4 linked regions of the Canis lupus familiaris genome follow. The protein of the gene in region 1 purifies or fractionates together with the protein of each later gene. This does not show direct contact. Links are inferred from orthologs where the notes say so. Each region holds a gene or a part of one and is shown in the gene's direction. Other genes may lie near its edges.

Region 1 (5,065 bases):
CAGGACCCCTGGATCACGACCTGAGTCAAAGACAGACACTCAACCACTGAGCCACCCAGGCGTCCCAGATTTTTATTTATTTGAGTTTAGAGAGCGCATGTGAGTGCAGAGAGGGGGAAACCAACTCACTGGTGGGAGGAGAGAGCCAGACACGGTGCTTGATCCCAGGACCTTGAGATCATGACCTGAGCCAAAGTCAGATGCTTAACCAATTGAGCCACTGTGCACCCCCAAGTTCACTCTTTTGTAAATTGAAGAGCATACTCTGCAGATTTCTCATTTGTACTGCTAGATTTTTGTCCATTGGATGTTGATCAGCATAGTTAATAAGTAAACATGTTCTTTAAGGAACTAACCCTTTGCAGGCTTATTATTATGTTGTTGTTGTTTTTTTTAGAGAAATGGTACTCATGTTGTACTCCTCAAAAAAAAAAAAATTCTAAAGATTCTGTAAAAATGCCGTGAACCTTCTTTCCTTTGCTTATTGGCATTTAAGAAATGTTACAACCCAATGACTAAATATTACAAAGAATCTAGTATGGTGGGACCTAGAGTCTGAGCCTAGTACATGTGAATTGCTTACAACATGCATAGCTATTTTTGATTGAGGGTCATCTTTCCATTTAGTAACTATAAATAAGTTGAATGTACCAGTAGTCGTTTATAGCTAAATGCCCAGTTCGTGTCATTTTACAAAGTTGAAGAGTACTTAGTATTTCCTGCAGTGGTGACTCTTTTCCTTCTTTTTTTCTCATCCTCTAGGTTTTATCAGAGTAAGATGGACGGTAGCTTTGATTGTGATTGTGGTGAGCTGGAGCCACCTGATCACTAACAAAAGACATCTTCTGTTAACCAACAGCCACCAGGGCTTCCTGTTGAAATATACAGCAACAAAGGAAGAGAAGAGGCAAAACGGAAATAGTGCTTATCAGCACCTTAGAATGATGCTGCTCAGGACCAGTCCAACACTGAATGTATCTGCACTGTGAGGAGAATGTTCATAGAAGCCTGTTGTGTGCATATTTATTCACATTTTTGTTAAATGTTAAATCGTTTAGCACAGTTAAATCTGAGTGCATAGTATGTCATTTCATTCCGTTTGAGTTTCTTGAGTGTTTTCTTTAAATGTCTGCAGAGTTGCTGCCCCTTTCTTGAACTATGAGTACTGCAACCTTTTTAATTCTCAATATGAGTAGAGCTTTTTGAGCTTTAAATCTAAGGGGAACTCAACGGGCCTGGTTGGCATATGCAATGAACATCAAGAAATCATCTTGCTGTGGAAGCAAAATTATTTTTCTTTTCCTTTTTTGAAAGATCTTTCCTTTTGATGTCAGTTTTCTTCCTTGTTTACACAAGTTCAACAATTCGAAAGGAAAAAAAGGCAATAGTAAAGGTTTCAAAATGGCAGAGAAATTTGAAAGTCTCATGAACATTCATGGTTTTGATCTGGGCTCTAGATATATGGACTTAAAACCATTGGGTTGTGGAGGCAATGGCTTGGTTTTTTCTGCTGTAGACAATGACTGTGACAAAAGAGTAGCCATCAAGAAAATTGTCCTTACTGATCCCCAGAGTGTCAAACATGCTCTACGTGAAATCAAAATTATTAGAAGACTTGACCATGATAACATTGTGAAAGTGTTTGAAATTCTTGGTCCTAGCGGAAGCCAGTTAACAGACGATGTGGGCTCTCTTACTGAACTGAACAGTGTTTACATTGTTCAGGAGTACATGGAGACAGACTTGGCTAATGTGCTGGAGCAGGGCCCTTTACTGGAAGAGCATGCCAGGCTTTTCATGTATCAGCTGCTACGTGGGCTCAAATATATTCACTCTGCAAACGTACTGCACAGAGATCTCAAACCAGCTAATCTTTTCATTAATACTGAAGACTTGGTGCTGAAGATAGGTGACTTCGGTCTTGCACGGATCATGGATCCCCATTATTCCCATAAGGTATGTGGAAAGCTAGCTGAGACAGACCTTTAAACTGGTGTACATCATCAGGAATTAGGTACTTGTATTTTCTTTATATACTGTGACAGATTTTTTTTCTCCATTAATTGTATTAAACTTTATGTAGTACCTTTTTTTCTGATACAGATCTACTTTCATTCAGAATCTCCATATGTTTAAAAGGAAGTTGGGGGGATCCCTGGATGGCTTGGCAGTTTGGCACTGCCTTTGGCCCAGGGAGTGATCCTGGAGTCCCAGGATCGAGTCCCACCTCGGGCTTCTAGCATGGAGCCTGCTTCTCCCTCTGCCTGTGTCTCTGCCTCTCTCTCTCTCTCTGTGTGTGTGTGTGTGTGTCTATCATAAATAAATAAATACATCTTTTTTTTTTTTTTAAAGGAAGTTGGAGTGGGATCCTAAAAGTATATGGTTATTTATTATAATTGAAACTCTCCCTTATTTAAAAGTGAGATAAATTCTTATGTGTTTAGGGCAAAATTGTGGTCCTATCCGAAGGTAAGAGGGGATGCTATTTCAATATTTAGGTCTTTTGTCCTTTTGAGTCTTTACTGTTCTGTTATGCTTTGTTTAGGCAAATTTAATTTAGTTTGATATCTAACTTGGTATAGAGATAAAATGGGCAGTAAGAATAGCTTAAGGGATCCATAGTAACTGTACTTTAGGTAACAATTTAACTTTATATAAGAAGTAAATTGTTTTCTGAGCCAAACTTTGGTCTTTTAGTTTTCAAATGAAATTGTCTGTGGGATCCTGCTGTTTAAAATATTAAAGTGGAACTCCTCTGGTTATAAAGAACCCCTTGGAGCTCCCTGCTTGCTTGGATTCCCATAGTACATGCCTAAACAAACAGATCTTTTCATTCACATGTTAGCATCTCACATTAAGTGTAACTTAATTTTTTTAAAACTTTAATGTAGAAATATAGTATTAAAATGAAATGGACAACCATCACATCTTTTTTATGGGTAACAATGAAGTATTGTGGATAGAACACTGAACTAAGAGTTAAACTAGTTAAAATTGAGTTCCATTTCTGACCTTAAGTAGATTCCTTAATCTATGAGTGTTACCGTCCCTCTAAAATGGCATAATATCTACCTTCATAATTTTTCAGGGTTGTTTTGACCCTGTTTTAAGGACGAAGTAAGGTCGTATACGTATATAACTGTTTTTGTTAAGTGCTTTATAACCGTAAAGTAGTAAAATTGATTAGGAATGGGATATATAATAGAGCCAGGTCCCCTGCGTTGTCAGGAGGTTGGCATTGGTTTATAAGTAGCACCCTAGGTGCTCTTTTTTACCTTTCCCTCATTGATTTAAAGCATCCCTCCTCCTCAAGTAACTTAAGACTTGAAGTGAAAAATAGCTTCTCTTCGAAACATGCTTTGAATATGTGATATAGTCAGCATTAATCTTGTATAGTATATATAGTATATTTTGGTCAGCAGACTTCATGTGAACATCATCTTATGGATCATATATCCCAGGGAGAGTTTAACCCCCTATTGAGCCTGAAAAGTGCAAGAGCCTCGAAAATAGGCATATAAATCAACTGTATTGTTTTAGGATATCACTTTTTTTTTTTTTTTTTTTTAAGATCAGGGATTCTTTAATGAGTCAAGTTTTATGTACTGTTCTTCAGCTAAAGTAAAATACTAAAGTATGTGTGTTTTCTTTTTTTTCAGGGTCATCTTTCTGAAGGATTGGTTACTAAATGGTACAGGTCTCCACGTCTTTTACTGTCTCCTAATAATTATACTAAAGCCATTGATATGTGGGCTGCAGGCTGCATCTTTGCTGAAATGCTGACTGGTAAAACCCTCTTTGCAGGTTAGAAATTTTAAAATATTTGGAGAAAAAAAATATTTGGAAAAAAAATATTTGGAAAAAATTACCTCAAAGAGAAATAATTTTGTATGTATCTATGAATCAAGATTTATATAAGATTTAACATAATTTATTATAGTCTGATACTAAAATGAAAAGATAAAATGGTGTTTTAATATTTTAAAAAGTTTAGAAACCGTATATTCACTGAATATATTCACTCAGCAAATTTAGTCAAAATTCTAGTGTTATTTTGTTTTTCTTCTTAAACATAATTTTTTATTTTTTAGACTCACAATACGTGTTGGTAATCTTAAATGATGCCTGAGTTGCCCAGTGTTGTCAGTGTTTGTTACTCTTAGTGAAAATTTTTAGCTGTCATTGGAAATCCAGTAATTCTTTGTCCTCTATCATCTCTGATGTCTGAACTGCCATATCCTGTCATCTGACTGCTGTGACCTTTCAGAAACAACCAAACAAGGAATTTTTTGCTGAGTTTGGTGCTATGAGGGAGTCTATAGAAGTATGAGAGAGAATTTAGTCCAACATAGGAAAGGGTGAATAGTCCATGAAAAATATCAAGTGTTGTAAAGCAAAGTAGGAGTCTGTATAAAATTATTTAGTGCAGAGTATAAGAGCTACAAGCTTAGAGTCTTCATCAATGATGGCTAAAACAAAAGGTATAATGGAGTAAAAAGATTTTTCATTACATAGGAATAGTGAAGAATTTTGGTGGGAGGAAGAGAGAGAGAATGGTACTATATAAATGAAGGTATGAGCCTGAATCAGTGAGAAAAGATTGATGAAAGAAATCATGTACATGCATGAATTAGTGAGAAAAGTTGGATGAAAAAAGCTGTCAAATAATGAACATACTTATGACTACTTAAGATGGAGCCAGAATACTTAGAAAAGTAGGCAGAGGAATTCCCATTCGGAAATAGGGTATTAAAGATTTTTTAGTTTGATAATTGACATGGTGGTGAATTAGGTCTTTTCTCCCTTTTGACGTTACTGTTTTTCTCTCTAACCAATCTTAGAATGACCCTCTCACCACTCCCAAATTGTGCTAAGAGCAGAAGAAAGGGAATGGAGCAGGATCTACTTACAAAAAAATATTAATTAAAAAAAAAGATAAGGGTACACAGAAAAGCATTATTGAAGAAAGGATGGTATCCATAAATGCCCTTGAATTTTTTTTTAAAGAGCACTCAGCTTACATAACATTAACCAATCTTTTGTAGTTTTCCCCTTAAATTTATCT
Region 2 (5,065 bases), on another chromosome or scaffold:
GCTTGTTCCTCTGCTCCTACCCCTGTTCCGAGCTATGTAATAAATAAAATCTTTAAAAACAATCCTTTTAACAGAGTTAATTTTTTTTTTTTTTTTAGAAAACCTTCTAAAGTCTTGCATTTTCTGTTTTACTTAGGAAATCCAAACTTGTCATTCTTTCAGATAGATTACAATGCTCATTAAAAAACCACGTGGAACTTGAACTCATGACTCTGCGATCAAGAGTCAGATGCTTAACCCACTGAGTGACCTAGGTGCCCCTAGATATATTCTTCTTCTGTACTATGTGATTGAAACTGTTTATTAGGCATTCTCTGTGCAATTCTACAAAACATTTTCTTGAGCAACATTTCATGGACCTTATAAAAACAAGAATAAACACAGTGACCTTCCCTGCCATAAAGTATATTGAAAGAGAAAGAGCAACAAATGACCCTAATTTTCATGTCATAAAACTGCCTTTTTGACTACCCCTGTTAGTAATCTGCCTGTTTGTATCGTGGCATTGTACTTGCTCTTGAAATGGCTCTATCACGATGCTGGCATGTTTATTCAGAGTTTCCTTGTACACTAAGCCATTTCTTAGCTTCCACTGCAAAATCTAATGTGATATGATATTATTTTTATTTGTACTTTTTTGCTCTAATACATTTCTTTTTTGTGGTTTTATTGTATAGATACAGATATCAGCGAGTCTGGCATTTCATTACGAAGTACTGGCTCGGCAACTTCCCTGGCTAGTCAGGGAGAGAGAAGGAGACGCACCCTTCCCCAGCTTCCAAATGAAGAAAAGTCTCTTGAGAGCTCCAGAGCCAAGGTTATAACACAGAGGTCAGAGATTGGAGAAAAACAAGACACAGAACTTCAGGAGAAAGAAGCTCCTACACAGGCATATCAGAAGGATAAACAAGATGCTGACCGACCCCTGAGTAAGATGAGCAGGGCAGTGAACGGCGAAGCTGTTAGGCCTGGCGGAGATAATAAAACCCTTCTTCACTTGGGCAGCTCTTCTGGAAAGGACAAAAGTGATACTGATAAGGAAGCTTCTGTGGTAAAGCAGACATTGGCCAAAATTCAACAGGAACAAAAGGAGCAGGCACAGTGGACACCTAGCAAGTTGTCTGCTTCCAAAAATGTTTCAGGTCAGATAGATAGGTGCCGGGAGGAATCTTTTAAACAAGAGTCACAACCTCAAGAAAAAGTTCCAGGACACTCTACCAGCAAAGGAGAAAGGGTGACACAAAATGAGAGCAAGCGAAGAAAAGCTGAGGATGTTCTCAAAGGTCAGAGTTCAAAAGGTGGAGACAAGAAGGAATCCTCAAAGTCCTTAGTGCGACAAGGAAGCTTCACCATAGAGAAACCTAGTCCCAACATACCCATAGAACTTATTCCCCATATAAATAAGCAGACTTCATCCACACCCCCTTCTCTGGCATTGACAGCTGCCAGCAGGATACGAGAAAGAAGTGACTCTATGGATACTGATTCCAGTATGGACACAACTCTTATTCTGAAAGACACAGAAGCAGTGATGGCTTTTCTGGAAGCCAAACTGCGTGAAGATAATAAAACTGATGAAGGCCCAGATACTCCCAGTTATAATAGAGACAACTCTATCTCACCAGAATCTGATGTGGACACAGCTAGTACAATCAGTCTGGTCACAGGAGAGACTGAAAGAAAGTCAACCCAAAAGCGAAAGAGTTTCACAAGTCTCTATAAAGATAGATGTTCCACAGGTTCTCCTTCCAAAGATGTTACAAAATCATCATCTTCAGGTGCTAGGGAGAAAATTGAGAAGAAAACAAAAAGTCGTTCGTCAGATGTAGGCTCAAGAGCGGATGGCCGTAAATTTGTACAGTCCAGTGGAAGAATGAGACAACCTTCAGTAGATTTGACAGATGATGACCAAACCTCTAGTGTACCTCATTCTGCTATCTCTGATATTATGTCATCTGATCAGGAAACTTACTCTTGTAAATCTCATGCCAGGACTCCACTTACCTCAACTGATGAGCATGCACATTCCAAACTGGAAGGAAGTAAAGTAACTAAATCTAAGACTTCTCCTGTAGCACCTGGATCATCCAGTAAATCAACCACTCTTCCAAGGCCGCGACCTACCAGGACTTCCCTCTTGCGCAGAGCACGACTTGGCGAAGTGTCCGACAGTGAACTGGCTGATGCTGACAAAGCATCCGTTGCTTCTGAAGTGTCCACAACCAGTTCCACGTCAAAGCCCCCCACAGGAAGGCGTAACATCTCTAGGATTGATTTATTGGCTCAGCCTCGTCGAACAAGGCTTGGCTCATTATCAGCTCGCAGTGACTCTGAGGCAACGATCTCTAGAAGTAGTGCCTCTTCGAGGACTGCAGAAGCCATCATTAGAAGTGGAGCCAGATTAGTACCTTCAGATAAATTTTCTCCTAGAATTAGAGCTAACAGTATCTCTCGACTATCAGACTCCAAAGTCAAAAGTATGACCTCAGCACATGGCTCTCCTTCAGGTAATTTGGATCCAGACTTTTTATAATATTAGCATATTTATTTCATGTTTTGGGACTCCCTTTTAAAAAAAAATTAGATGTCTAGTGTTAATTCTAAAAATATTCAACAGAAAGGTTATGCTATAAGAGAATATTTTCTATAAAATTATTTTAGCTCATTAGTAAATGGAAGATTCAGAAGTTACATACACTTCCAATTAATACCCTGGGACAAAATAGTGACTTCAAAATTAGTATCTGTTTAGGAATTTTAATTGTCTGGTTGACGAGATATCTGGATTCATGTGTCGAATTAGAGGAGGAATAGTATCTGGTTTAAATAATAGGAATTAACAGGAATAGGGATTCTTAAATATCCTCACGTAATTCAAAGCCCTTTGCAGAAGCCCTTTATCTGAAGAAAAGTAGTATGCTTAGCAGAGCTAAGTGAAATAATTGCTGTTTTATCCTTGCTTTCCCATTTATGTAGAAATGTTTTATATTTTTTGAAGTTAAATCTGTTTATAGTTGGGACAGGTGAAAACTAATCCTTAATTTATTTCAGTGGAAGAAGATGGATTCATGAGATAATCCCTAAGTATATATGGGTCAAACTGGGCTACAGAAACCTGATTACGAGCACTATCTCATAAAACACCGTTCTGTCACTTAACTATAGTAATTAGCTGTCAATGAATACTAATCATTCCAAAAGCTGTTTCCTCCCCATGCAAATTGAATGGCCTCTGGGATACTTGTCTGTTGGTGTACTTCATATTCACAGCTGTAGCCCAGGAGAGTACGAGTGTGTGACCATAGTACTAACACAGATGCTTGTGTGTACCCTGTACGCATGGACTCTTACTTCATAATCAGCCTCACCCCTGGGTGGGGCTACAAGGGCCAGTGAGGGGAAGCCAGCTGGTCAAAGACTTAGAGAGCTCTTATTAGCAAGCATCCAAGTGAGCCTAAGTCTTGAGGGAAGAGTGAGGGAAGGTTGGTATACAATCCCGTGTTCTGACTTTCATGTCTACCACGGTGGAGTCCACAAGACTCAAAACTAACAGTGCTCCTCATGTTCTGTTTTCACTTTTAATTCCTCCTCTCTTGTCTTCACTGCTGTTCCCTCCCCTGCACTCACAGCTCCCTCTCTCCTGGTCAGATCTGTGGTAGGAGTGCAAGTAGGTGGGAAATAGGGATTATGTAATCAGGACTCCAGAAGAATAGCTGATTTTCCTTCATGCCCCATCGTCCCTGCTTCTGCACTGGGAGCTCTTGTTGCTGGTTCATGCAGTTATTGCAAGCATTTTAAAACTGACTGCTGTCTGTCGGTTTGTGTTTACCCAGTATTGGTGTTCTGTTCCTTATGGCTCTACCTCTTCAATTCACATTTCCTTTGTGCTGCATTCTATGGTGTGTACTGTGATAGAATTTCTTCTGTCACATGGCTTGTTTGATCACCTCATCTCTATTTCAGTACATAGAAATGTTCCAGTTTTCTCCTGTCTCACTGTAAGCTGTAATGCAAGCCGTATGTCACCAAGTAGCATGGAACAGTTCCTTCTGTACTGGTTCTCTGGTCTGTGACACATGAGTGATCTGTTTAACATGAAGGGCTTCTGTGAGGTGCAAGCCAAAGAGGACTACTTAAGCAAATCTAAGAAACTGTTATAAGATGCTATGTCTTCAAAGATAAATTTTGTTTTCTCCTTTGAATACAGAACTTGATAAACATGCAGTTTCTATATCCAAAAAGTACCTTCAATTGCTTAACGATATTCCCTAGTACCTTTTGGCCCTTCTTCATACTTAATAGTAGTATATTAAATAATTAGAACCATAGAATTAAAAACTGGAAGGATTATTCAGTTTACGTAACTTAGGCCAAGAGATGCAACAACCTGTCCTGGTCACATAGCAGAGGCAGGGACAGGATGAGAAGCCCCAAGGCCTTTTCATTCCCAGCCTCTTGCTGTTTCTACCACATCCTGTCTGGCTCTCAGAAATACTCTGCTTACAAGCTTCTGGGCAATGCCTGGAATTTATTGGATTATTTCCAGAAGTATATACAAGGCCAACATACAATATATTTGGTATGTTGTCCACTATAACCTATGTAATTCTGATGTGTTACTAAATTCATGAAGCCACATTGTGATCCAGGATTGTATGTTTGGATTCTCTCAAGATGCCTGTTTATAGTATTCTATACTATCTACAAGGACAATGGCTAGCATCTCATAGTTAGTGGTCACACACTAACATAGTTATATGGGTAGGCAATAAAAAAACAAGAAAAGCAGATACTTGATCTAGTTGCTAAATGGGTTGTCTTTATGTTATGGCATTTCTACTTAAGACAATTATATCTTGACTGGAAAAGAAAATAAAAATTCTTAGATTTTGAAATATGATTTAAGAGAATGTAAAATCATACTGGTCAGTGTTGTACAAACTGTAAACTTAAAGGACTTAGAGGTCTCTGAACCTAGAGCCTTGATATGTCCAGATTGGCATATGTGAAAATAATTCTGTAATGTTTCAGATTTCATAATTTAGGCCATGTCTAAAAAAAGTTT
Region 3 (5,065 bases), on another chromosome or scaffold:
GGGTCAGCAAAACCCCACACAGTCCGTCCTGCTTGTCCTCATCCTCCACTGGCTTCCCCTCTGGCTTTTTCTGCTGTGGCACACTGGCCAGAGTCCCCACCTTCACAGGACCTTTGCACATGCTGTTCCCTCTGCATGAACTCTTTCTAACCCTCTTCTTCTAGCTAACATTGCCCGTCCTTCAGCTCTCAGTTCAGTTGTTCCCTCCTTAGGAACATCCCTCCCTAAACTGCCTGATGAGAACAAATCCCCTGTTACATACCCTCGTGCCATCATCAAATACTTCTTTGTATCAGAGTTGCATTCTCCACATTTGCGTGTATGCTTTTAAATCAATGTCCAGCCTACTTACTAGTCTATAAGTTAGGACAGGAGCCCTAGCTGGCTCACCAGTGTACTCCCAGTGCGTGCCGTAGAGCCTGGCACACAGTACATACTCAGTCATTACAGAACGAATGAATTGTGAATCTGTTGATTCTATTTACAGGAAATGGTGACTATTACTCTAGTGGGAATGATCTGATGAATTTCATGAATATTCCCCCTGGTGAAATGGAGAAGGAAGCTAAAAATGGTGCCATCTTACTGAGGTAAGAGTGACATTTGTCTGATGCCAGAGAGCTCATTCTTACTCATCAAAGTGTGATTTAGTCCAGAAGAAGTAAGATAAATGCTTCTGTGTGTTAGTGTAATTAATGTGTCTTTGGACAAGCATATTTCTCCAGACTGCCCCTGTCAATATGTGGGCATTGATTCTATCACTTTAACTTCTGTTACCCGTTCAGCCTGCTGCTCCACAGGAGATTCGATTGCAAAGCACTAAAGTAAACTACAGTTATAAAAAAAGTTCTCTCATAATGAAGCAAGCAGAGCGATTTAGCAAATTCTCATTTGGCCAGAGGAATGCATGATTTCCATGACTGCTGGTAACGGGACAGGTGAAATAGTCTCAGCATAGAGGCCACGAAGGCCTCTCTCTTCCTAATTCATTTTGCCCTACAAGGTTTCGAATTCCCACTGAGCTATAATATTGTAGCATATACTCAGCCAGCCATCCTAATCTTGAAGTCTGCGACTGACAGCCCTGACCAGGCTGCCCAGAATGCGCGACTGAGCCACGGTCAAGCTTATAGGACCCACTGTGTAAGCTTCCATCAAATGCCATTCAGATGGGTGTCCAGCCTGGCCAGAGTTTATTTCAGACCCATGCTGTCTTGCTTGTGCTTCAGTCATATGCTTTGGGACATTTAAATGCGGTTTTGTATTTCCATTTCTGTAGGGATTTTGTAGGCTGTTTTATAGATTTTCCTAAGCCTCTGGTTGCAGTGATAAATGGTCCAGCCATAGGAATCTCCGTCACCATTCTCGGGCTATTCGATCTTGTGTATGCTTCCGACAGGGTAAGTCAGCCCCCAGAAACTTACTGAGTCACGAAGTAAAAATGAGGTCCTCTGAATTCTCTTTTGTTGTTGCTAGTAGTAAACAGATTATATAATTTATAGTAGAATAGACTAAATTTTGATTTTTCCCAAAGAATTACTCTAATTTAATTCAACGTGTCTTATTTGTCCTTCATTATTAACTTGGGTTTTCCTAAACACCAATATGGTTGTGAACATTGTCCCAACTATTTTGGTTCTATATTCTAATCAAATTATGTAACAGTCACTCAACTTTTGGTTTTCCAATTAATCTGAAATGGGAGATCTGGAAAGCTTGTTATGGTGGGGAAATAGCATTTTTTCATGTTCTGCAAGTGGATAATGTGATACTTTATTCCAAGTAAACAAATTGTGGACTTTAAAATTTTAGAGTATTTGAATTTTTTTAATAAGAAGGGACTTCCAAGCCCTCACTCCCTTCTATGCAAATAAGTAAACTGAAGTTCAAGTTACTTCCCTGAACAGTTTAGCCTTGGGTTCACCACTGAATTGCATTGATTCTAGTTTCTGTTCTTCTGATAGTATTAATGTATGTCATAGTAGAAAATAAAATGTTGAAAAATCTGGAAAAGCATACAGAAAAGGGTAAAGTTGAAAATCCCTTCTTATCTTACCACTCAGAGATAATCAGTCCCTTGACTCCTGGAACCCTAGGCTCTCTGCAGTTCTGTCGTTATGATCAAAGATGTGATGACCATTTGTCTCAGAAATTTTACTCTAGATTTTTTACTATGGAACTAAGAACCACTTGTAGGGTTATCAGATTCTTAGAGTACTTTTTGCTTATGCAGTGGTAAAATTTCCTGCTCTACAACCTTGTGGGAAACATTCGGTTTTTGCCACTGAAGAGATTCCTGGTTTCATTTGGAGATGTTTTCCCCACTGATAGACATAACCATATTTTAAGATTCTTATCTCTTGGGTTCGTTTTTTTGTTTGTTTTTGTTTTTGTTTTGTTCTTTTGCTGGATTCAGTTTGATTGGATTGGGCATGTTGTTAGACCTAATTGTTTTTAATAATTGTCCCATGAAAACATCAACTAAGATTCTAGGGGCCAGGCTGCCTAACCTTCATAGATGGAAGTTTCTGCTCATGTGAGAGGACTGATTGATCAACCAGTCTTGACCAGGGGTGGGGGTGGGGTTGGGAGTTCCAGACTTAAACGTGGGGGTCTCATTCTCCAGTACTTAGAGAGCAAACATATCATCCTATTTGAATATTGTCCTGATTCTCCCTCAGAATTAAAAATGACTGTCACATGTGTCTTCTTTTTCAAGGTTCCTAGGACTTCTGTCCTATGATACAAATTGGAATTGAAATTGAAAGAGAACACACATAGATCATTTAAATGCTGAAAGATTTGGCCCAGAGTAAAATATTTGACAAACAGTGACCACTTATAAGAGTTCACCCAACTGAATTAAACCAAGGTTCAATTTAAAATCAGAAAAAGACACAGAAGAAAGAACCTGTGAAGAAGAATGCATTTTATAGGATTTATCATTGACTTCATAAACAGATACCATATTGAATGTGGATTAACACTCATATAATTGAATCCTTCTTTATTATGGGCGGTAGTTAACAATGCCTATTAGTTTCCTTGTCGGCAAATTGTGCATTTTCCCTACGAGGTAATAAAAGGGTGGACATCTTAAAAATTATAAATACTTGAGAACTCACCACATACAGGGCGCTCTGTTGATGCACATTATGCATATTCGCTTAATATACCAGCAGCCCCGTAAGATAGCTACTTTTGTCTCCATCTTATAGAGTTTGCTATGGCAGAAAGAAGTTAAAAAGCTCCCAGAGTCACCAAGCAGTCTGATGCCACAGCCTAACACTTAATTACATCTACTGTTTCTGAAAATAAAAGCTAAATGCTTACTTATAAGGATGATTATAAATAAGTTAAATGTGGTTTACTATCAGTTTTTCACATACCTGTCTGCGGCCCTTAGCTATGGCTGGTGTTTCCTTTCAATTTCCCACTTACACGCCTTAGGCTGTGACTTCTCAGTATGTCCTGACTTCTCAGTATATCTTCTTGAATAAACTTTCTTTGAGGAGGAAATGATAGGTGACATTAGTAACTTTTTATTTTACATTTTTGTTTTCGTTTATATACTACATACATTATATATTTATGTCTTCTAACAATATTCATTAAGAAATAGCACCACATCTGATTATGGGAAGTGAAGTCTGAATGTTCTGTGTACATATTATCAATTACCAATTAATTTCCTTTCATAAAGACTTGTCATTCGTCAAGAAATACACAAAAATATTTGTTAAAAAAATTCGGGGGGACACTCCTGGGTGGCACAGTCAGTTGAGCTTCTAACTTGGCTTCCAGTTTAGGTCATGATCTAGGGATCATGATCCCAAGGCTCCATACTCAGCAAGGAGTCTGCTTAGAGTTTCTCCCTCTGCCCCTCCCCATTCCCTTCCCTCCCTCTCTCTCAAATAAGTGAATAAATCTTTTTTAAAAAGCAAAACAAAAACAAAGGACACCTGAGTAGCTCGGTTGGTTCAGCATCCAGCTCTTGATCTCAGCTCAAGTCTTGATCTCAGGGTTATGAGATCAAGCCTAGCAGTGGGCTCCGTTCTAGGCACTGAGTCTACTTAAAAACAAACCCAAAAACTAAAGATGGCTCTATAGTCTAAATAACCAATATTGAAATAGATTCTACTGTTTAAAGCCAATTTAATAACCTCTCTGAGGTAAAATCAAGACAGATGACAGAATGAGGAAACAATTTTCCAATTGGTATAATAAAGGCTAATCTCTCTAATATATTTTTTAAAATACAATTATAAAGCAATAGATCAACAACTTAGTGTAAAAATGGGCAATGGGGAGGAATATATAGCCCACAGAAAATTAAGTATAAATGGCCCTTTACAACATAGGAGAAAGGCCCTATCAAGAAAATTACTTGCAACCAGAATATGTAAAGAACCACAACTCGATAATAAAAAGACAACCAATCTAACTTTAAAATAGTGGACAAAGTATTATAATGGTTACTTCACCAAAGAAGTTAAATAAAAAAAGATAAAAAGCACATGAAAGGATGCTCAATGTCATTAGTCGTTACAGAAATGTAAATTAAAACCACAGGATACTACTAACACCTCCTGGGATGGTTCAAGTTAAACAACTGACAGTAACAAGGTTCCGTGAGGATGTGGAACAACCGGGACTCATCCACTGCTGGGAGGAGTGGTCAACGATGCACACGTTGCAAATTGTTTGGGCTGCTTCTTCTAAAGTTTTAAACCACATTTTGCCACACGACCCAGCAATTCCACCCCTCAGTATTTACCCAAGAGAATTGAAAGCACAATCATGCAGAGACCTGTATACAGATTTTCATTAGCGGTCTTAGTCATCCTAGCCAACCTACTGGAAATAACACCAGTGGCTTCAACTGGTGAGTGGATAGACGAATTGTGATGTCCGTGTGATGAATTCTACTCAGAAATGACAAGGAACAAGCTACTAATACAACAGCATGGTGATTCTCAGAAAGTCTTATGCCAAAGACCAAAGGCTACCGAATGTATGATTCTGTTTATACTACATTCTAGAGAAGGCAAAAAGAGGGACAGAA
Region 4 (5,846 bases), on another chromosome or scaffold:
GCTCAGTCTGATGGTTGAGCATCAGACCCGATCTCAGGTCTTGGTTTCAAGGGTCATGAGTTCAAGCCTGGCGTTGGGTTCCACACTGGATGCAGAGTCTACTTTAGAAAGCTAACAATTGCAATGTGATAGAACTCTTGAGATTGTGGTAAATGGGAACATGTGTATATGGTTGGAGTGGGGCGTGGGGGAGGGAGGGCTGTAGGTGGAAGGAACCTACTTTAAAGACCTTGATTCATGCTGGAAGGAAGAAATAGTCTGCAGAGAACAAGTGCAAAGGTCAGCTCATTGTGCCTTTTTGATGCATATGCACCTGGAAGCTCACTTTGGCGCCTGGTGAGCTCAGTCAGTGGAGCATGCTACTCTTGATCTCAGGCTTGTGAGTTCGATTTCTTAAAAACAATCTTAGAAAAGAAAACCCACTTTGGTAATTTGTTGTGAAGTCATTTAAACTGATTATTAACATCTGAAGTCACATGGCATTTATGGAACGAACAAACTGCTTCACCAGGGTTTCAAACAACCTTTGCAAAGGAGAAACTACAGTTGCCTTGCAGCCATAAACTTCTAAGTCCTCTAGGATTTGTTTTCAAGTAAATCATGGGGGTAAGAATGTTTTCCCGTTTTGTCTCCCAGCACCCAGTCTTGTTTTAAGATTTTATTTATTCAATGAGAGAGAGAGGCAGAGATACAGGCAGAGGGAGAAGCAGTCTCCATGCCGGGAGCCCGATGCGGGACTCGATCCCGGGACTCCAGGATCGCGCCCTGGGCCAAAGGCAGGCGCTAAGCCGCTGAGCCACCCAGGGATCCCCCAGCACTCAGTTTTATCCCTTGTCAGTTTTGAAGATCCTCTGTGTATGTATTGTACTCCATGCACAAACAGCCATATATAACCATCTTTTTTACACCAACCAATCATGCTAATTCTATTCGGGTGCCTGGCTGGCTCAATTGGTCAAGCATATGACTCTATCTCCAGGTTGTGAGTTTGAACCCCATGCTGGGTATAGAGATTACTTTAAAACATCCTAAAGAGGGGCCACCCAGGTGGCTCAGTCTGTTAAACATCTTCAGCTCAGGTCATGATCCCGGGGTCTTGAGATCCAGCATCTGGCTCCCTGCTCAGTGGGGAGTCTGCTGCTCCCTCTCTCCTGTTTGTGCTATCACACACTTGCTCTCAAATAAAATCATAAGAAATAAATTCTAAAGAAATTTAAAATTGTTTCCTATCCTGGCGTCTGCACAGTGGCTTCAGAGCTTCCCATTATATAGATAACCATAAACAGTTCTCTGTTGATGGAAGTTTGCCAAAAGAGCTTAACCCGTCTATGACACATTTAAGAAGGCAAGGTATTTCCTACAATTCCATTTGCCTGGAGGCTTCTGTCTTGGTGCACAATTCCCTAAAGAGCATGCTTAAGCAATTTTATGGCACTTTTGAGGTTCTTGGGTAACTGGCTTTTTCTGAGGAGTTTTATTTTTTAAAGAAATTATTTTAAGCACATGAACTTCAGAGCCGCATAGATGCCCTCTTTGGCACTCCTGAAGCCCAGATACCTTCAACTAGTGACTTTCCCTCCCCCAAGCTCCAATTTCCTCAGGGCACAATCAAAAATAATGCGAACTCTTGGTGGTGTGCGAGTTCAAACAGATTGCAAAGCGCGCAATGTTGGCTCCTCTATATTTTCATTCTCTTACAAGGGTAAGCTCAGTACTAGATAACTTTTTTTTTCCCCAGTTAACAAGTTCCCAGTGCATGATGACAAAATTGCAAGGCTGCAGTTACTCTGCCATTATGTCCTTGAACATTTTCAACAGTCCCCGGTGTCTCCCACCATTATGCAACAGCGCTGGGCTGAAACGTGCAGCAGCAACAATACGCCAGGTTCCCACTGGGGCAAAGGGCGCATTACTAAACGCCTGTTTCCGGTTGCCCTTAATAAAGATGGCGGAGGTATGGGCGCCAGCGCCATCAGGCTGCGGCATCGGTGCCCTCGCCAAACATGGTGGCGTCGTACCCGCCCCCTTGGCTTTTTCCTGTCTGTCGGGCTAGTTCCGCTAGCTCCTGGGTTGCGATGGCGGCAGCGATGGCGGCTTCTCGCAGTCTCCGAGATCTGCTAATGCGGCGTGAGTCACCTCGACCTCTGGAGTCCGTTGCTCCGTCGTGCCGTCATAAGCGCCATTGGATGGGGAGGCCTGTCGCGGGTGCCGGGCTGAGCACCTTAAACACAGGGGGTGCATATGCTCCCAACCAAAGAGCGCCCTAATTCTGTAAGCCTGTGCCTTACAATTGGGTCGCTTCGCGTTCCCCATGTAGGGTCAGCCCCACGATCAAGGGTCTGAAGAAGTCCTCTCACTGAGGCCACTGATAAGTGCCCTCCTAATCTGAAAGTTTGTATCCTCCTAAACAGGTTTCTTAGGGACCCGTGTTCCCCAGTCTAACATCACTGAAAGGAAATGGGGCCCTTCTGCTCTTGAAGGCACTGTGTCCCCAACCTGGGGTCCTCACCTCAAAGCCTCTTCTTTTCCTTTATCTCCCCAGGACTGGTGGCGCCCACCCCGCAGGGCCTCAGCCTTTGCCTTCGCCCCTTGAGCTCTGCTGCGCAAGATGAGGCCTCCACAGCAGCCCCCAGAGAAGCACCAGGCCACAGCTATGAGTCCCTTCGGGTGACAGCTGCCCAGAAGCACATCCTGCACGTGCAGCTGAACCGGCCTGAGAAGAGGAATGCCATGAACAAGGCCTTCTGGAGGTAGGGCCTGCGGATCATGGAGGCCTGCCTGCAGGAGGAGGCAGGGGCTGAGGGAGTGGGCAGGAGTGGGGTGTGGGGGACAGAGTTCAGGAGGGCACGGGATACCCTTCCAAGACACAGCCCTTCTCTCCTTGCCCCGCCCAGAGAGATGGTGGAGTGCTTCAACAAGATAGCACAAGACCCTGACTGTCGGGCTGTGGTGATCTCTGGTGCAGGAAAAGTATTCACTGCAGGTACCAGCTGCTCTCCACCCTCACCCCTGCCAGTCTCCCCTGCTCCTGGCATTAGAGCAGTGCTTCCTAACTAGGGTTCCAGCTTCTAACTTCCACTTGTATCTTTTTCTTTCTTTAATTTAAAACATTCAAATACCACGGGGGGCCTGGGTGGCTCAGTGGTTGAGCATCTGCCTTCAGCTCAGGTCATGACCCGGGGTCCTGGGATCGAGTCCCACATCGGGCTCCCTGCAGGGAACCTGCTTCTCCCTCTGCCTATGTCTCTGCCTCTCTCTGTCTTTCATGAATGAATGAATGAATAAATAGATAAATAAATAAATAAAATCTTTATTTTATTTTTTTAATAAATCTTTTTTTTTTAATTTTTACTTATTTATGATAGTCACCGGGGGGGGGGGGGGGGTGGCGGGGCAGAGACATAGGCAGAGGGAGAAGCAGGCTCCATGCACCGGGAGCCTGACGTGGGATTCGATCCCAGGTCTCCAGGATCGCGCCCTGGGCCAAAGGCAGGCGTTAAACCACTGCGCCACCCAGGGATCCCAAATAAAATCTTTAAAATAAAAATAAAACATTCAAATACCAAAATGAGTCCAATAGAACATGACTGAATGATGAGCTTTGAAGTCTGATTTGTGGCCTTGACCAAGGCCCTTAACTTATCAGTCTGTTTTTGTTTGTTTTTTAATGTCACTAAAGTGTATTATAATAACATGCTTTCAACACACACGCACTGATTTCCAGTTACATGTCTGTTAGGACTTTTAATTGTCCCACGCATCTGTTCTTCAGGCTGGATAATTTCCATTGACCAAATTCCCTGAATCCTTTGTCATCCTAATTCTACTGTGAAGCCTATCCAGTGATTTTTAAAATTTTAGATACTGTGGTTTTTGGTTCACAAATTTTCACTGGGTTCTTTTTTTATATTTGCTGTTTCTCTACTGTAGCTTGTTATTGATCACAAGCATGTTCTTTGCACTGTTGCTCCTAGTTCTAACCACTGCTTTAAAACTCTTGTCTCCTGGTTCCAACATCTGGGTCACATTGGGGTCAGTCTATGTTCATTATCTTTTCTCTTGAAAGACTGAGTCTCATTCTCCTGTTTGTTTGCATTTGGAATAAATTCTGGGTTGTATCCTGGATATTGGGATATGGAAAGACGATGTGGAAACTCTGGGTCCTATTCTCTACCTCTGGAGACTTGAATTTCCTGTTCTAGCAGCTTAGTTGGAATCAGTTTTTAGATCTCTTGCTGGGCTGCATGCATGGTTCATGGGTCAGCAAGAGATTTGGGCAGAGATGGTCCATAGAATTTGGGGCTCCTTTCTCTGGCTCGCTTTTTTCTGGAATATCCCCCCTCACTTTCCAGCAGCTACGGTTACCCTGGACTCTGTTTTCTGGTTCTTCAGGCACAACTTCCAGCCTCCCCTTAGTCTAGAAACTTTAAAAATAGCTAACTCTCGGGGTGCCTAGGTGACACAGTCGATTAAGGGTATGACTCTTGGTTTCAGCTCAGGTCCTGATATCAGGACCGCAAACTTGAGCCCCGCTCAGACTCCAAACCCAGTGTGGAGTCAGCTTGAGATTCTCTCTCCCTCTGCCCCTCTCGCTCATGTTCTTTCTCTCTCCCTCTCTCAAACAAATAAATAAATCTTTAAAAAAAATTTTTTTTTAAAGAACTCCAACTAATTCTCACGGTGCTAGTCCCTTCTTTTAAGTGACAAATTCCTCCAGAATCTACCCTGTGCCATCAGGTGGTGGTTTATATCTTGTCGACCCAAAACATGCTAGTTGTCCTATGTGGGCAGCTTCCATTCCAGAAGTGAAGCAGTAGGTGGGTACATTGCTCTCTGCACAGGGCCCAGCCTGCTGCTGGGGACACAGTGGTGACCGAGGCAGCCCCGGGCCCTGGCATCACGGAGTGGCCAGCTCAGTGGGGAAGACAGACAGTAAACAGGCTATTTCTCGTTGTCTCCCCTCTTAACATCTTTACGTGTCCCCTCTCTTCATTCTCCTCTCGTTGATCTTTTTTTTTTTTTTTTTTAAATTTATGATAGTCACAGAGAGAGAGAGAGAGGCAGAGACACAGGCAGAAGGAGAAACAGGCTCCATGCACCGGGAGCCCGACATGGGATTCGATCCCGGGTCTCCAGGATCACACCCTGGGCCAAAGGCAGGCGCTAAACCGCTGCGCCACCCAGGGATCCCTCGTTGATCTGTTTGGATGACAGACACCACAGCGCAAGCCCCTTCCTGGGGGCCCTGGACCTAGAAACAGGAAGGTAGCCCCTGGTTCTCAGCCCTCCTCTTCACGGAGCTCGTGCCAGAGAAACGAAAGACTAGGCTTCATCAGTGGCTGTGTCAGGCCTGGGGCCATCATCTCAGTTCCTAACTGGCTGAAGCCATCTGCTCTCATTTTCAACAGCAAGACTTGCAAGGCCAGAAAGAAGAAACTCAATGTAATTAGTAGTTCCTATGATAGAATAGAACCACTAATTAAATAAATAAATAAATAAATAAATAAATAAATAAATAAATAAATAAAAGGAGGGAAGTAGCCCACACGTATTTAACATCTGCAGAGTGTCTGGACCTGTCCACATATTAATTAATTCTCCCCAGAACCCTTCCAGATAAGTGCAATTATCGTCCCCCATTTTATGTGTGAAGCAACTGAGGCCCAGAGAGAGGAAGAAACTTGCCCGGTTCTCACAGTGGAAAATGGCAGAGCTAGGATTTTTTTTGTTTTTTGTTTTTTGGTTTTTTTTAGAGAGAGAGTAAGTGTGAGAGCAGGAGGGGGTGGGCAGAGGGAGAGAGAGAACCTTAAGCAGACTGGGCAGGGAGCCCAACGTGGGGCTTAATC

What was found.
Region 2: the proteins of MAPK6 (region 1) and CEP170 purify together in Homo sapiens (affinity purification with mass spectrometry; 3 studies listed by BioGRID and IntAct, with this or other methods). This does not show direct contact. The link is inferred for Canis lupus familiaris from reciprocal best matches to the Homo sapiens genes MAPK6 and CEP170.
Region 3: the proteins of MAPK6 (region 1) and ECI2 purify together in Homo sapiens (affinity purification with mass spectrometry; 3 studies listed by BioGRID and IntAct, with this or other methods). This does not show direct contact. The link is inferred for Canis lupus familiaris from reciprocal best matches to the Homo sapiens genes MAPK6 and ECI2.
Region 4: the proteins of MAPK6 (region 1) and delta(3,5)-Delta(2,4)-dienoyl-CoA isomerase, mitochondrial-like purify together in Homo sapiens (affinity purification with mass spectrometry; 3 studies listed by BioGRID and IntAct, with this or other methods). This does not show direct contact. The link is inferred for Canis lupus familiaris from reciprocal best matches to the Homo sapiens genes MAPK6 and ECH1.

What each region holds. Positions count from the first base shown.
Region 1 is NC_049251.1:18,012,451-18,017,515, forward strand, and holds part of MAPK6 (mitogen-activated protein kinase 6), read left to right. Parts: intron 1-762; 5' UTR 763-1,401; coding exon 1,402-1,956; intron 1,957-3,659; coding exon 3,660-3,804; intron 3,805-5,065. UniProt on the Homo sapiens protein: Atypical MAPK protein. Phosphorylates microtubule-associated protein 2 (MAP2) and MAPKAPK5.
Region 2 is NC_049228.1:34,236,070-34,241,134, reverse strand, and holds part of CEP170 (centrosomal protein of 170 kDa), read left to right. Parts: exon of another isoform or gene 1-32; intron 33-677; coding exon 678-2,507; exon of another isoform or gene 2,508-3,307; intron 3,308-5,065.
Region 3 is NC_049256.1:5,644,496-5,649,560, reverse strand, and holds part of ECI2 (enoyl-CoA delta isomerase 2), read left to right. Parts: intron 1-487; coding exon 488-590; intron 591-1,279; coding exon 1,280-1,400; intron 1,401-3,389; exon of another isoform or gene 3,390-3,406; coding exon of another isoform or gene 3,407-3,505; intron 3,506-5,065. Other genes in the region: C35H6orf201 (uncharacterized protein C6orf201 homolog), read right to left, coding at 3,407-3,505. UniProt on the Homo sapiens protein: Able to isomerize both 3-cis and 3-trans double bonds into the 2-trans form in a range of enoyl-CoA species. Has a preference for 3-trans substrates.
Region 4 is NC_049222.1:115,068,997-115,074,842, forward strand, and holds the start of delta(3,5)-Delta(2,4)-dienoyl-CoA isomerase, mitochondrial-like, read left to right. Parts: upstream 1-1,959; 5' UTR 1,960-2,003; coding exon 2,004-2,127; intron 2,128-2,542; coding exon 2,543-2,750; intron 2,751-2,894; coding exon 2,895-2,983; intron 2,984-5,846. UniProt on the Homo sapiens protein: Isomerization of 3-trans,5-cis-dienoyl-CoA to 2-trans,4-trans-dienoyl-CoA.